2 linked regions of the Coturnix japonica genome follow. The protein of the gene in region 2 purifies or fractionates together with the protein of the main gene of each other region. This does not show direct contact. Links are inferred from orthologs where the notes say so. Each region holds a gene or a part of one and is shown on either strand. Other genes may lie near its edges.

The links. The genes of interacting proteins can lie anywhere in the genome.
Region 1: the proteins of PTCD3 (region 2) and YBX1 purify together in Homo sapiens (co-immunoprecipitation; 4 studies listed by BioGRID and IntAct, with this or other methods). This does not show direct contact. The link is inferred for Coturnix japonica from reciprocal best matches to the Homo sapiens genes PTCD3 and YBX1.

The regions. Positions count from the first base shown.
Region 1 is NC_029536.1:5,558,285-5,564,399, forward strand, and holds the start of YBX1 (Y-box-binding protein 1), read right to left. Parts: upstream 4,328-6,115; 5' UTR 4,152-4,327; coding exon 3,992-4,151; intron 3,648-3,991; coding exon 3,584-3,647; intron 274-3,583; coding exon 240-273; intron 1-239. UniProt on the Homo sapiens protein: DNA- and RNA-binding protein involved in various processes, such as translational repression, RNA stabilization, mRNA splicing, DNA repair and transcription regulation.
Region 2 is NC_029519.1:77,495,001-77,501,015, reverse strand, and holds the end of PTCD3 (pentatricopeptide repeat domain-containing protein 3, mitochondrial), read right to left. Parts: intron 5,516-6,015; coding exon 5,371-5,515; intron 4,868-5,370; coding exon 4,817-4,867; intron 4,496-4,816; coding exon 4,412-4,495; intron 4,083-4,411; coding exon 4,054-4,082; intron 3,575-4,053; coding exon 3,471-3,574; intron 3,175-3,470; coding exon 3,096-3,174; intron 3,009-3,095; coding exon 2,918-3,008; intron 2,682-2,917; coding exon 2,596-2,681; intron 2,501-2,595; coding exon 2,352-2,500; intron 1,912-2,351; coding exon 1,870-1,911; intron 1,026-1,869; coding exon 867-1,025; intron 576-866; coding exon 500-575; 3' UTR 184-499; downstream 1-183. UniProt on the Homo sapiens protein: Mitochondrial RNA-binding protein that has a role in mitochondrial translation.

The DNA of each region.
Region 1 (6,115 bases), on a different chromosome or scaffold from region 2:
TACTCAGCAAACTTTTTAACAAGTTTAATGCCAGTAACAAATTAATGCCAGCAACATAACGTGGGTCCATTTGTTCCCTAAATGGAATAAAATCCATCATAAGAGATGTCACAAGTTTCAGCACGTAAGCAGTGATTTTAGGGAGACAGGAAACCCTTGTCCCCTCCAACCCATTTGGCTGAGGTCATGCACAGCGCGTATCAAAGAGGTAACACGTTTCAGTTCCCAGCCCATCTTACCTGATGGACAAACACATCTTCCTTGGTGTCATTCCTGCAAGACAGCACCAAAGAGAAATTCAGATGTGAGACAAGCTGCGTGAGGGCCCAGCTTCAAATTCAGTTGTTTAGGGGTGAGGGGAAAGCAGGGGAGCACCGGGACAAGTAGCTGTCAGCTCTGCACTGCTCAGCCTGCTCTAAGGGGAGGCTGCCTCAAAGAAAGACCTTGTTGGGGACCTGTGTGAGGTGCTGAGTGTTTTCCTCCCTCCCCACATATCCCACCAACAGGCTCGGAGGAAAAACACCTGACAGCCCATCAGTTGGGATAGCACAGTGGAAGATGTGACATCACAGGCTATGAAAAGCAGCACACACAGCCTGCGTCCCCAGCTCCATTTCCTGCAGTGATGAATGCTCTATGAGGGCAGCAGCGTGGCTAACAGACAAGCAGGGCACAGGGAGCTTCCTGCTCCACAGTTACACAGCACAGCCCCGGAGCTGTGCTCACCGCTCACAAGCTGTGAGCCCTCAGGCTCACATCACACCAGCTGAGCCTTGCTGCAGTGTCACTTCAAGTCATTCCACAGCCCAATGAATCAACTGCTGAATGCCTTTTATTTCCTAGAATACATGTTATAGGCACAGCTAGTGCTGCAGTGCTCAGAACTGGACTCATTTAAAGCCAGTCACTCCTCCCCGTGCCTTTAACACACGGCAATAACAATACTGTGAACAACTCGATCCAAGTTACAGCTGCCCCGTCACACAGTACCAGCACCACACACCCATTTCCTTATGGAACTGACGCCTGCAAGAACTACTGACCTCAGAGCTGACGGAAAACAGTTCATCCAAAGGGCTACAGAAGGTGATCAGCTCAGCCCCAGCCCCACCAGGCAGCACCCAGAAGCTCTTAAAAAGCCTAAAACTCTTACAAACACAACATGAGATCATAGATGTTCCAGCTGAGGGCCTTGAGGGAAGCCCAGCGCCTGCATTCAGTCAGTGCTCACTGTGCTCCCAACAAATGCAGAGCTCTTCAAGTGTGGATGCTCTGCACTCCTCCCAAACCCCATTCCTCCAAGCACATCAGCTGCTCCTCATTTCATTTAGAGCCCTTTCTACATCACATTTCCCATTGAAGATCATGCTGGAGCTCTGGCTCAGTAAACGACTCAGTTACACTGAAGCAGATTAAGGTGGAGATGTGATTTGTTCAGAACCCTCCTGGTTAATTCTAAAACCCAGTGTCTGCCATGGGATTTCTGCACTAAGCCCATCGAGGAGCAGCACATGAGCTGCCACACGGATGGTGTGGGAATAACCATCTGTAAATAAGACAGGAAGCACAACAGGAGCTGCCCATTGTGAGGCACTCAGCTCATCGATGCTCTTAGTATCTTTAACCTCTTACTAAAAATAGTAATAAAAATCAGAAGAGCAAGCGGTGATTAAGAAAACACAGCAAAGCTGTCAATACAAAGCCAGTTATCAGTGTGCAGCCCCAATTATGGCAACAAGAGCAGCTCAACAGCCAGCACATTCAGTTGTTTCATTGACAGCTGACAGAATCCAAGCTAATATTTCAGAAGGGAATAATAGACGTACTTAATATTAATATACAACAACAGGCTACAACCAAAGCCAACGTGAGCTGCGAGCAGACCCAAACAAAGCTCCTGCGGCTTCCCTTGTGGTGAGCCTGAGCTATTTGGGAGCAGGGGAAATGTGCTCCAGCTCAGTTCTCATCTCTTGATAACAGGAGCTCACGCTGTGTTTCTCATTAGGAACAGCATCCTCAGGGATTAAACAGATGCCAATATAATATGAGCGGGGAAGCCATTCAGATGTCTTAACTAGCTGCTCCTGCTTCCACACTTGACTCATGTAGCAGCTATGAGTGGAACAGGAAAAAACCCTCCCAGAGGCTGTTAGTGAGCTGGAGCTGTGCACGCACCTCCAGGAGCAGGGGATGCTGCTGGGCTCCTCTAACAGCTGTTTGACACCTGACACTCAAACACCACTGGGCCAGGCTTTAGAGCTGCTCACCAGTCAGAGCTCAGAGGATGAAGACCAGGCCACAGTATAACAGGTAGATGAAAAGATGACATTTAGGCCAAATTTTCCTGAAAACATCAGTACCAACACTTGCTTCCCTGGAGGAGGATTCCCCAGCCTCCTCCTGTCAACCCCTGTGACAGCAGATTTGAAGTCACCAGCTCCCATTCCATGTATCTTTCTTCACCGTGGTAACTTGATGGAGCTCACAGCACTTTCCTGCTCCTCAGAGCCACGTGCTGTCACAAACGAGAGAAGCAGCAGTGAACTCCAGCAGGAAACAGAGCTGCCCTGGGGCCTCCTGCATCCCAGGTACCCGGCAGAGGAACATCCTCCAGGGCTGTTCCATGACAACACCACATAGAAAAACAGGGCTCTGCAGAACCACCACCACCTGCAGGCACTCCAAAGTGACTGAGGGAAGAACCGTTCTCTAGATCAGCTGCTGGCAGAGAAAACAGCCTGACAGCACGTTTCTCAAGGCCTAGACATCACATAATCACAGAACTGTATGGGTCAGAAGGGATCTCTAGAGATCAAGCCCAACCTCCTGCTAAGGTGTGTTCCCCAGCACAGGTCACAGAGGTGATTATCCTTTGGTCTTTAACATCTGTAGATAAGTAAGCACGACTCTGGGCTGACTGCTCCACTATTGACAGTAAAGTTCTTCCTTGTGCTATTATGGAACTTCCTGTGTTCCAGCTTCTACTCCCTGCCTCTTGCTCTGTGCTGCACACCACCAACAACAGTCTGCCCCCACAGACTTGACTCCTGCACTTTAGTTCCTTAGAAGCAGTGCTAAGATCCCCTCTCAGCCTTTCCTCATACAGGAGACACTCCAGGCCCTGATCTCATTCCAGCCCTCCACTGTGCTCTGCCAGCAGTTCCCTGCCTGCCTTCAACTGGGCAGCCCAGCACCAGGCCCAGTGCTCTGGATGTGGCCTCCCCATGGCAGAGCAGAGAGGAGAACCTCCCTCACCTTGCTAACAACACTGTGGGGTGCTGCTGACCTTCCTGGTTTATAGACACAACCTTCCTGGTTTATAGTCACCCTATTGGCCACCAGGTCCCTCACTGCAGATATCCCCTCAGCAGCCTGCGCTGATGCCCACAGCTGCTCCTTCCCAGCTCATGACTCTCACTGAAGCTCATCAATCCCTCTGACTCCTCACAGCCTCAACTTCACACCGAGCTTTAAACAACGTACTGACAGCCCGCAGCACCGCGCCGGGAAGCAGTTAAGGCCTTATACCGCAGGCCACGCCACCCCCCACGCGCCCCCCCACCCCCACCGCCGCCCCGCTCACCTGTTGATGAAGCCGTAACCGTTCCGTACGTTGAACCATTTCACTGTTCCCAAAACCTTCGTTGCTGGCAGAGAGAGAGAGAGGGGAGGGGGGGGGTGAAGGAGGACGAGCAGAGCGCGGCGTCATGCGCGGCACGTGGCGGGGCGGCGCACACAAAGGCCCCGCGTGGCGGACATCTTGAGCCGCAACGCCCCGCCCCCACCCGACACGCGGGGCCCGGCGGAGAGCGGCGCGCGCGCGGGGGGGAGAACGGGGCGGGAAAGGGGAGCGGGCGCGCGCATCAACGGCCAACGGGATGTGAGGGGGGGGGGATGGAGGGGATGGAATGGAGATGGAGGGGGTGGATGTGAGGAGATGGAGGCTGTGTGGGGAACGGCCCCCCCGCCCCCCGCTGCCCCCGTCCCTCACCGATGACCTTCTTGTCCCCGCCGGCGGGAGGTGCCGCCGATCCCAGCCCGCCGCTCCCGTTCCCGCTGCCGCCGTTGGGTTTGGACTCGGCGTTGTTGGCTGCGGGAGCCGCCGCGGGGACGGGGGCGGCGGGCGGCTGGGTCTCGGCCTCGCTGCTCATGGCGGCGGCTGTTCGGTGCGGACGGTGGTGGTGACTGGCTGTTTGCGCCGCCTCCCGCGGTGTGATGGTGACTGAGGCCGGCCGTGGGGGGGCTGCTCCCTGCTCCGGGCTCGCTGAGCTCCGCTCTCCGCTCCCGATACCGATCGAACTGGCCACAATGGCGGCCCGCACCGGCTAGCCACCCCGCGCGCCCCGCCCGCGCGCGACGCTATTGGCCGCTCGCCCCGCCCGTCATTCTGCGAACCAATCCCGTGCGCCTTTCCCCTCCCGGCGTTAGCCATTCCCTGAAAGCCCATTGGCCGCGCCGCCTGCCTTTCCTCATCCCCGCGTTCCCATTGGTCGCGCAGCCGGCGGTTGCTGGGCTTCTTTTTCCTCCCGCCTACTCTTTCTCCCCGCCTCCCAGCTCTGATTGGTCGCCGGCTCTGAGGGGGCCGAGGTCGCGGCGCTGCGGGTCCGGCCGTTGTGCCCGGTGTGTCCGTAACGGACCGACGGTAACACGAGCCAACGGGCCGCGGGGACGGCCCGGATGTGGAGCAGGAGCCGCCGTCATTACAGCACGGTGTGTCCTCGAGGCACACGCCTGTAATTGGGCCGTTTCACAGCCAGGCCGCAGCTCTGAGCGCTGCTCAAAGCCGGGTTTAATGAGCCGCTTCCCAGAGACACCCCCGGGCTGTGACTGCAATGGGGAACGGGCGGTTAAACCGGCTCCGGTTTAATATCACAGCTGGGAGGGTGATACTCAATGCATCGGGTGTCAAACGGAGCAGATATATGTGCTTTATATGGCAAAGTGGCATCTGGGTGCGTCCCATCAGCACAAACGTCTCCTTTTCTGCTCACCAATAACCCACAGATGGGAACAGGGCCCAGCTTTATCCTCCGTGGGGGAATGTTCAGCCCTTGGCTCCTAGGAGAAACCTTGGCCGTGCAAAGCCAGAATGGGATACTATGGGATACTATGGGATACTATGGGATACTATGGGATACAATGGGATACTATGGGATACTATGGGATACTATGGGATACTATGGGGTGCTATGGTGATGCTATGGGATGCCGTGGGGTGCTATGGGACGCTACAGGGATGCTATGGGGTGCTATGGGACGCTACAGGGATGCTATGGGGTGCTATGGCAATGCTGTGGGGATGCTATGGGGTGCCATGGGGGTGCTATGGGGATGCTATGTTTCCTTCATCACCCAGTGTACTGCATGTACAAGTGAGACACGCTGAGCAGGAGAGAATCAAGTGCAAGTGTTCTCAGCAGCTGTGCAGTCTCACAGCCTGTCCTGTAGATTTTAAACAGCTGTTAGATAGAAGATGACACCAAAGCATGCCCACAAGGATCACACATTAGCGTCAGCCCACACCACCCTCAGACAGCCCCACACTCTGCACCTCAGGCAAAGCTCATGGAGCATCGAGCTGAGCCAGGAGCAGGTTGGGATGGGACAAAACAGCTGCACGTGACAGCACAGACTGAGAGTGCTGCAGGGGAAACTCACCTTGGTGCCCAGCACCCACAAAGGGTGACTTCAAGCTGCCCAGCAGACAAGCCTGCAATCCCAGTCTGACAATGAGAGGTTTACCACAAACCTTCAGCCTCAACTCTGTTCTCTGTAATGACTCTGAGTCCTGAATTCTACAGCTTGCTCATTCTCTGCTTGCTGGACAAAATGCCTTCTACTAACACCGTTCTAACACCCATGTTAATTCCTCTAACACCAGTGGCTTAAAGGAACCTGATGCCTTTTGGCCCAGAGGACTAACAGCAGAACTAAACTCACCCCAGAGCCCAGAAAACCCTGCCCATCATGCCTTGATCCTGTCCTGTGCTTCAATAAAGTGACATGTAGAAAGATTCAGGACAACCCCCAGAACTTCTCTGCCAGGGCAGCCCCACAGGCAGCGCTGGTGCAGCACAGCTCAGGTGTGTTCCTTTCATCTCTGCTTTCCCCTTAG
Region 2 (6,015 bases):
TACACCCAGAGAGGTCTTATTTCTTATGAAGGGAATTGGCTGTTAATTCCCCCACAGTAGGACATGCTTCAGTATGAGCAGGAAAAGGACCTTCACAATAAATTACCTCAAAAAACCTCCCAAGATTCCTCTGCAAGGAGAGAATGGGCGTAACCAACACTGTCTGCACAGAGATTACCAGAATTCAGCTGTCCTTAGCATCAGCCCTTTATTAGATGCAGCATCCAGCTGTACAGAGGCTGAAACAAGTGGCAGCTTTTCCTCTACATTCCAAAGCCTGTCCCAGCACCAAATGGATGAGAAATAACACCACAGACAACGATTACTTACAGCATTTACATGCAGACTGAACTTCATATTTAAGTGAAGTCAGCATGGAAGGAACTCAGCACTGGTTTAAGTCCCAGGATGACCCAGAGAAATGCTGCTTGAGCCAGAAAGCAGCACGTGTCTCACCAGAGCACTTCAGCTTTTCCCTATGGGAAGGCAGGGAGGACAGCTAGTCTCTGTCACTGTCGCTGTCACTGTCGCTGTCACTGCTGTCGCTGTCTGACTGGATGCTCTCCAGTGTCCTCCTGCAAATATTAAACAGTTGAGTCAAAAAATATGTTGAAAAAACCTTTGGAACCTTTTGCTTGAAACAAGATATCCAAAACAGTGAAAGGTCACATTCATTCCCTTCTAAGCATCATCAAGAGGGGTTATTTTTTGAGGTGTGGATGAAGCAGTCAGTACAAAAGCACATCATCATTCTGAAAGCAAGTTCTGTTAGCTGTGCTAGCAGAGAAGCCTTTGCACAGGAATTATCCCTCTAACACCCTGCCTACTATACCCCTACAGCAATACCATAAAGCAGGCCAACTTACTTCTGGTTTTCAGAGAGTTCAAATTCCTTCTCTATTCTGCTTTTAAGCTTCTGCGATGAAGGAAGACCAAGGGATGCTGCCAGCTTCACCAGCTTAATCGCCTCCTCCGGGGAATTGGTTTGTTTAGCACAGTTCAAGAACTCATCCATCACCAGGTCACTGTAAGAGCAAAGGCAGAGGGTGGTGGCTCACAGGGCCCCAGGTGAGGTGGCCATTGGCTGCCTTAGGGTGGGAAGGGAGGGGACACTTTTCAAATGACATAAGCAGCCTAATTCTGCTCCTGCCAGAGCTGTTACAAATGCACCTCAGCTTTCACCCCATACCAACATGATGCACTTTGGAACTCCTATCCATATAGAAAGCAGTACTGCACAAAAATGGATGGTAGCAGCCCACTGCCCAGGATGAAGACCCCACCTTTACAACAGCCTAAGTAACCCTTCCCCCTTTACAGCCCCCACATGAGGCCTACGCTGTGGACAGCAGAGGTACAGAAACAGTGATTAAAATCCCAGGCCAGCATGTCTTTGCTGCTGTGATGTCCATGGGCACAAAGAGCTCTGCTCCTCCAGCTCCACTGCATGTCGTAGTGCTGGCTCTGCTCTTTTGTTACCTGTACAGCTGCTGCACATTTGTTGCCTTTCAGCAAGAAGCAAGCAAGTGTTCACAGCTGGTACTGCAGGGAATACTGCAACCAGAGAGCCTTTAAGTCCATTTCTAACAACATGGAAACAACTTTCCTTTCACATTCACAACCCACAAACTATCAGCCATGGTACAGTCTCATGGTACAATTCCTTTCTCTACTCCCCAAACTGAGTCAGGGGCTCTGAAGGGACCTGGCAGCCTTAAGTCCTCCTTCCAGGCTGCAGAAAAGGGCAAGCACAAAGTGCTGTTAACAGCTGCCCTCAGATATGGTCTGCTATTATCAGTCATAACAGAAGTGCAAGATCTCAGACAAAAGAGGACTGGGTGCACAGAGTCAGAACCCGGATGTACTCACGTGGGAATCCTATTGATTTGCTGGAAACGCTCCATCATGCTCCTGTTCAAAAGGAAAATCAAAAACAAAACACAGGCATAGACAGGTGTTAAACCTCTGGGACAAGGCCGAGATGAAACACAGGTGAGTTCTATTTCCTAGAGACACCCCTTAGCTCCAGCACATCCAATACCATATGCTTATAGATGCATCACATACCACCTAACGTCACTGAACAGCAACACAGAACACCTTCAAATACTACAGAACAAATGACCAGTGTGACTGGTGACGAGTTCACATTAAAATCTTGGGGTTCTAAAAATATTCACTTCAGTTTTAATTAGACCCAGGGCTAATTAAGAACTTAATTATCCCATTTAAACTCTTCAGGAGTTTGGTGAAGAGTTCTAAAAATTAGGAAATGGGAAGCTGTAGAAAATCAGTTGTTCTACACCTGAGTTACAGCATCACCAAAGAGCTCCTGACAGCCACACACGTACCACGCGTCCTGGGTTCTCCCAGCCCTGGAAAACACCACAGTGACACTGCCCAGTGCACTGCCCGTCCATTCCAGTGGGACCTGATCTCTCCCAGATTGCTCATGGACTGCTTTGATATCTTCTGCACACTTGGCAAATGCCAATTGGACCTGTGAAAGGATCACATTGTTAACGCTAAACAACTCCGGTCAGGAGAGCTGTGTTTAGAGACATCTTTTACTCTTTTCTTACTGGGCTTCCTTACCTCTGCAGGGTGCTGATCCCTGCTCATCAAGGACAGAATTTCTTCCAACAGATCTCGTCTCTTATTAAACCCCAGCTGTTTCATATCTGTTGTGATACAGACAGCAGTCAGTAGGATATTTTCTATACACTGAAACCATATCTGCATTCTTGCCTCCCCAGCCTAAAAAGCAATGAATAGGCAAAGAATCTCAGGAATAACATCCTTCTTGCCAAAGCATCTGACCACAGCTCTTCTGAGCACCTCCAAGTACTCCCCAACACCTCCCACTGTGCACTGCTCCCAGCTTATAACCCCACGTAGCCATGTGGCTCCCACCAACCTTCCCAGACAGAAGGGATCACTTCCAAGTGGTTGGCTGCATCCAGGGCTTGGAGGAGGTCCAAGATGTTTTTAGGACTCGGATAGAAGAGCTGATGAAGGAAGAATCACTTCAGTGGACTGTAATCGTACTGGTTCTGTGTTGTAAAGCTTTAAAGCTTACAGTAGGAATCACTCACCGAAGGGCTCATCTCTTTGTACCATTTCAACACGACATCAATTTGTTCCATCATACACAACAACGAAAAGAATTTTGACCTACAAGAGGGAAAACAGCTCTGAATACATCTGGTACTCTGTGATCTCTACATACAACAGAGATACAGCCACTTTTTGTGGTCTCCTGAACTGCCATCCTACGTGGATAACAGGACTGTAAAAGATTCCTCTGGTTGGCGTAATGTTGGATGGGGATTAAGCTAAACTGAGGAGATGGAAGGGCTGGATCTACAACATTCCTCTCTGTCCTCTGGGCAGGTAACGTTCAAATCTCAGTTTGTCCTCAAATTGATCACAACACTCAAGATGCTGAATGTTGAATGCACTTCACTCACCAGTACAAATTTAAGCGATCCATGTCCAAGAACTTCCAATTGTCTCCCTTCTCCATTGCTTTATTTAAACGATAGGCAAGCTTGATATCCTTAAGATCACAGCACTGCAAGAAATGAGTCAGGTGTTAAAGATACCAAGTGTAACACTTAACACTTTCTCCCAAGACTCACTTTCACACAGACCAGTAACAGTCTGACAGCAAACGTCCTTAATGGAACGCAATTCAGTGCAGTGACTGCTAAGCACTTTTCTTACATGGGACAAATGAGTGACTCTCTCTCTGGGCAAAAGCCAAAGCTGCTGTGTGAGCTACACTGACATTCTCAGGTGTGGAGGTGGCTGACTGCTGCCAGAAGCAGGAGGCAGGCACAGAACACAGGCAGCTGTGTAGCTCTTTGTACCAAGAAATGCATGAACAGGCAAGTTACCAACTGAGAAATATCAAATAAAAAACCACAGGATTATGCAGAAGGGTTGCAGAAGGTGATGGACACAGGTGAAAAAGGGAATGACGCTGAGGGCTAAATCTCACATGACAGGCTGGAAAACTCATTGACAGTCCAGTAGGGATGAGTTACTTACCACCTGCATGGCATTGGTAAAAAATCTGGCTGAAAGGGAAAAAATGACGCATTAGTTTCCAGCTTTCAATAAGACACACAGCAACTCACTAACCCACCCTCCTGAGAGACAGACACAACATTTTCAATTAGAAACTGAAAGTGCAGCTAAATTTGACAATATAGCAATGCAGGTGATCTGTTTGGGCCTGGGCAGCTTTACAAAAGCTACGTTCTCATTTGAGCTATGGCAGAGAACACAGAGAACACCAAGACAGGTGTTGAGGTACGTCACCCACCTCTTCAGCACGCCCACAGCTGTCCAAGCCATTACAACTGCCCCTCTAACACCCGACTGTCAGACAGGATGAAATTCATACCATCATCAGGGTCCTGGGGAGTGAAGCTCCTCTTTTCAACATCATCCAGCACCTCGGAGATGATGCTTGATGGGGCAAGATCAACTGTGGGACAAACAAATAAGCAATATCACACCTCAGCTGTACTATCAACTATGTTGGTACAGAATCTCCTCCACAAAGACTGAGCAGCCTTTATCAACTCAAGAAAATAAGTTTTCTGAAGGATTCTTTTTTCTGTTGAAGAAGTAATTCTACTCTGTAGTGTTTTGTTCACTCAAGTGGAATCAGTGTAGTTAACAATGTTAGGGCTGCACACCTTTATGTGAGGTCATAAATCGACTGCTCTCATCCATTGCATTTGGAAAGCATTTAAACCAGATATTACTCAAGATACATTTGCAGACAAGGTAATAATGCACATACCAGTTTTATAAAATATAGAGAGAAGATGATCATACGTTGCAAGGCTAGGCTCTGAAAAGCAAGAAGATTGAAATTAGGACAACATTCTCAACTGAGCATTATGCCCAAGCTCTGATTCACAGTCTCCATGCCTTCTAGTCAGGCACTATCCATAATTTACTCAATCACCCCTCTCCCTTTGACCCTAACGATGGACCAAACCTCCTTTACAAAAATTACAACTGGAAGAGACAATGTCTAAGAGCGGATAATCAGCTGGAGCATCATATTGCTAAGGGACATGTGGCCAAGACTCCCTGCTCTAATTTAACAGCAGTAATGTTTTGTACCTAGCTTTCTACTCTACATGCCTTTAGTGTATCAATAAGCTGTTATTTGAGCAAATCACCCTCCACCACATATCAAATCAGTTGTGCAACTACTACCTGCCCACTGCATGCCCACCTGTCCTTGAAGACCTAGATGTAACTAGGTTAACAATAAACATGGTCCTAATTTAAGAGGCTACAGCATCCAAAGACTTCATTCTGGCTGTGGCTTTCTGGTTCTCTTACCAATTTCAAGTGCTTCCATCTCCTTCATTACTGGCATGGCCATACTTCTGCCTACACCACCACATCTTCTCAGAGTCTTCAGTACAGCATTAAAAGTTCTCACATTTGGTTGCACTTCCTGCTGAGCCATGTGAGTCAAGAACATCTTAAAAGGAAAGTAAACCCTTAGTGCTTCACACATGATGGATCACAGTTTATCATCATTCAAGGAGGCAGAGATATACTTCCCCAGTCTAATCCTTTTCATAGCCTGCAAGCGAACAACACTATCTCAAGTAACCACTGCAGGGAGTATTGCTTCACTCTAATTAATTTAACTGAGAAAAGATTACTTAAATGACATCACATCAGAGCTTTGAGACTTCTGACCAGAATATCAAAGAAATTGTTAAACTTACTAACTGATCTTCCTCTCTGATGTTTTCTTGTTAGTACTGGAACCTCTAATGTTACTACTCCTCTAAATTCTATTTCCAACACAATCAGTCACAAGTCAAAGAAGAGCTTTTAGCCTAGTTTTTTAAACCTCCCATTATATTCTATGATCATAATTATGATTTATGATCGTAATTTCCCAATTTCTTTCTGGCTTGGCAGTTCTTGGATCAGTATGTTCTCAGAAGACAAACTGTTCTGCAAGGACAA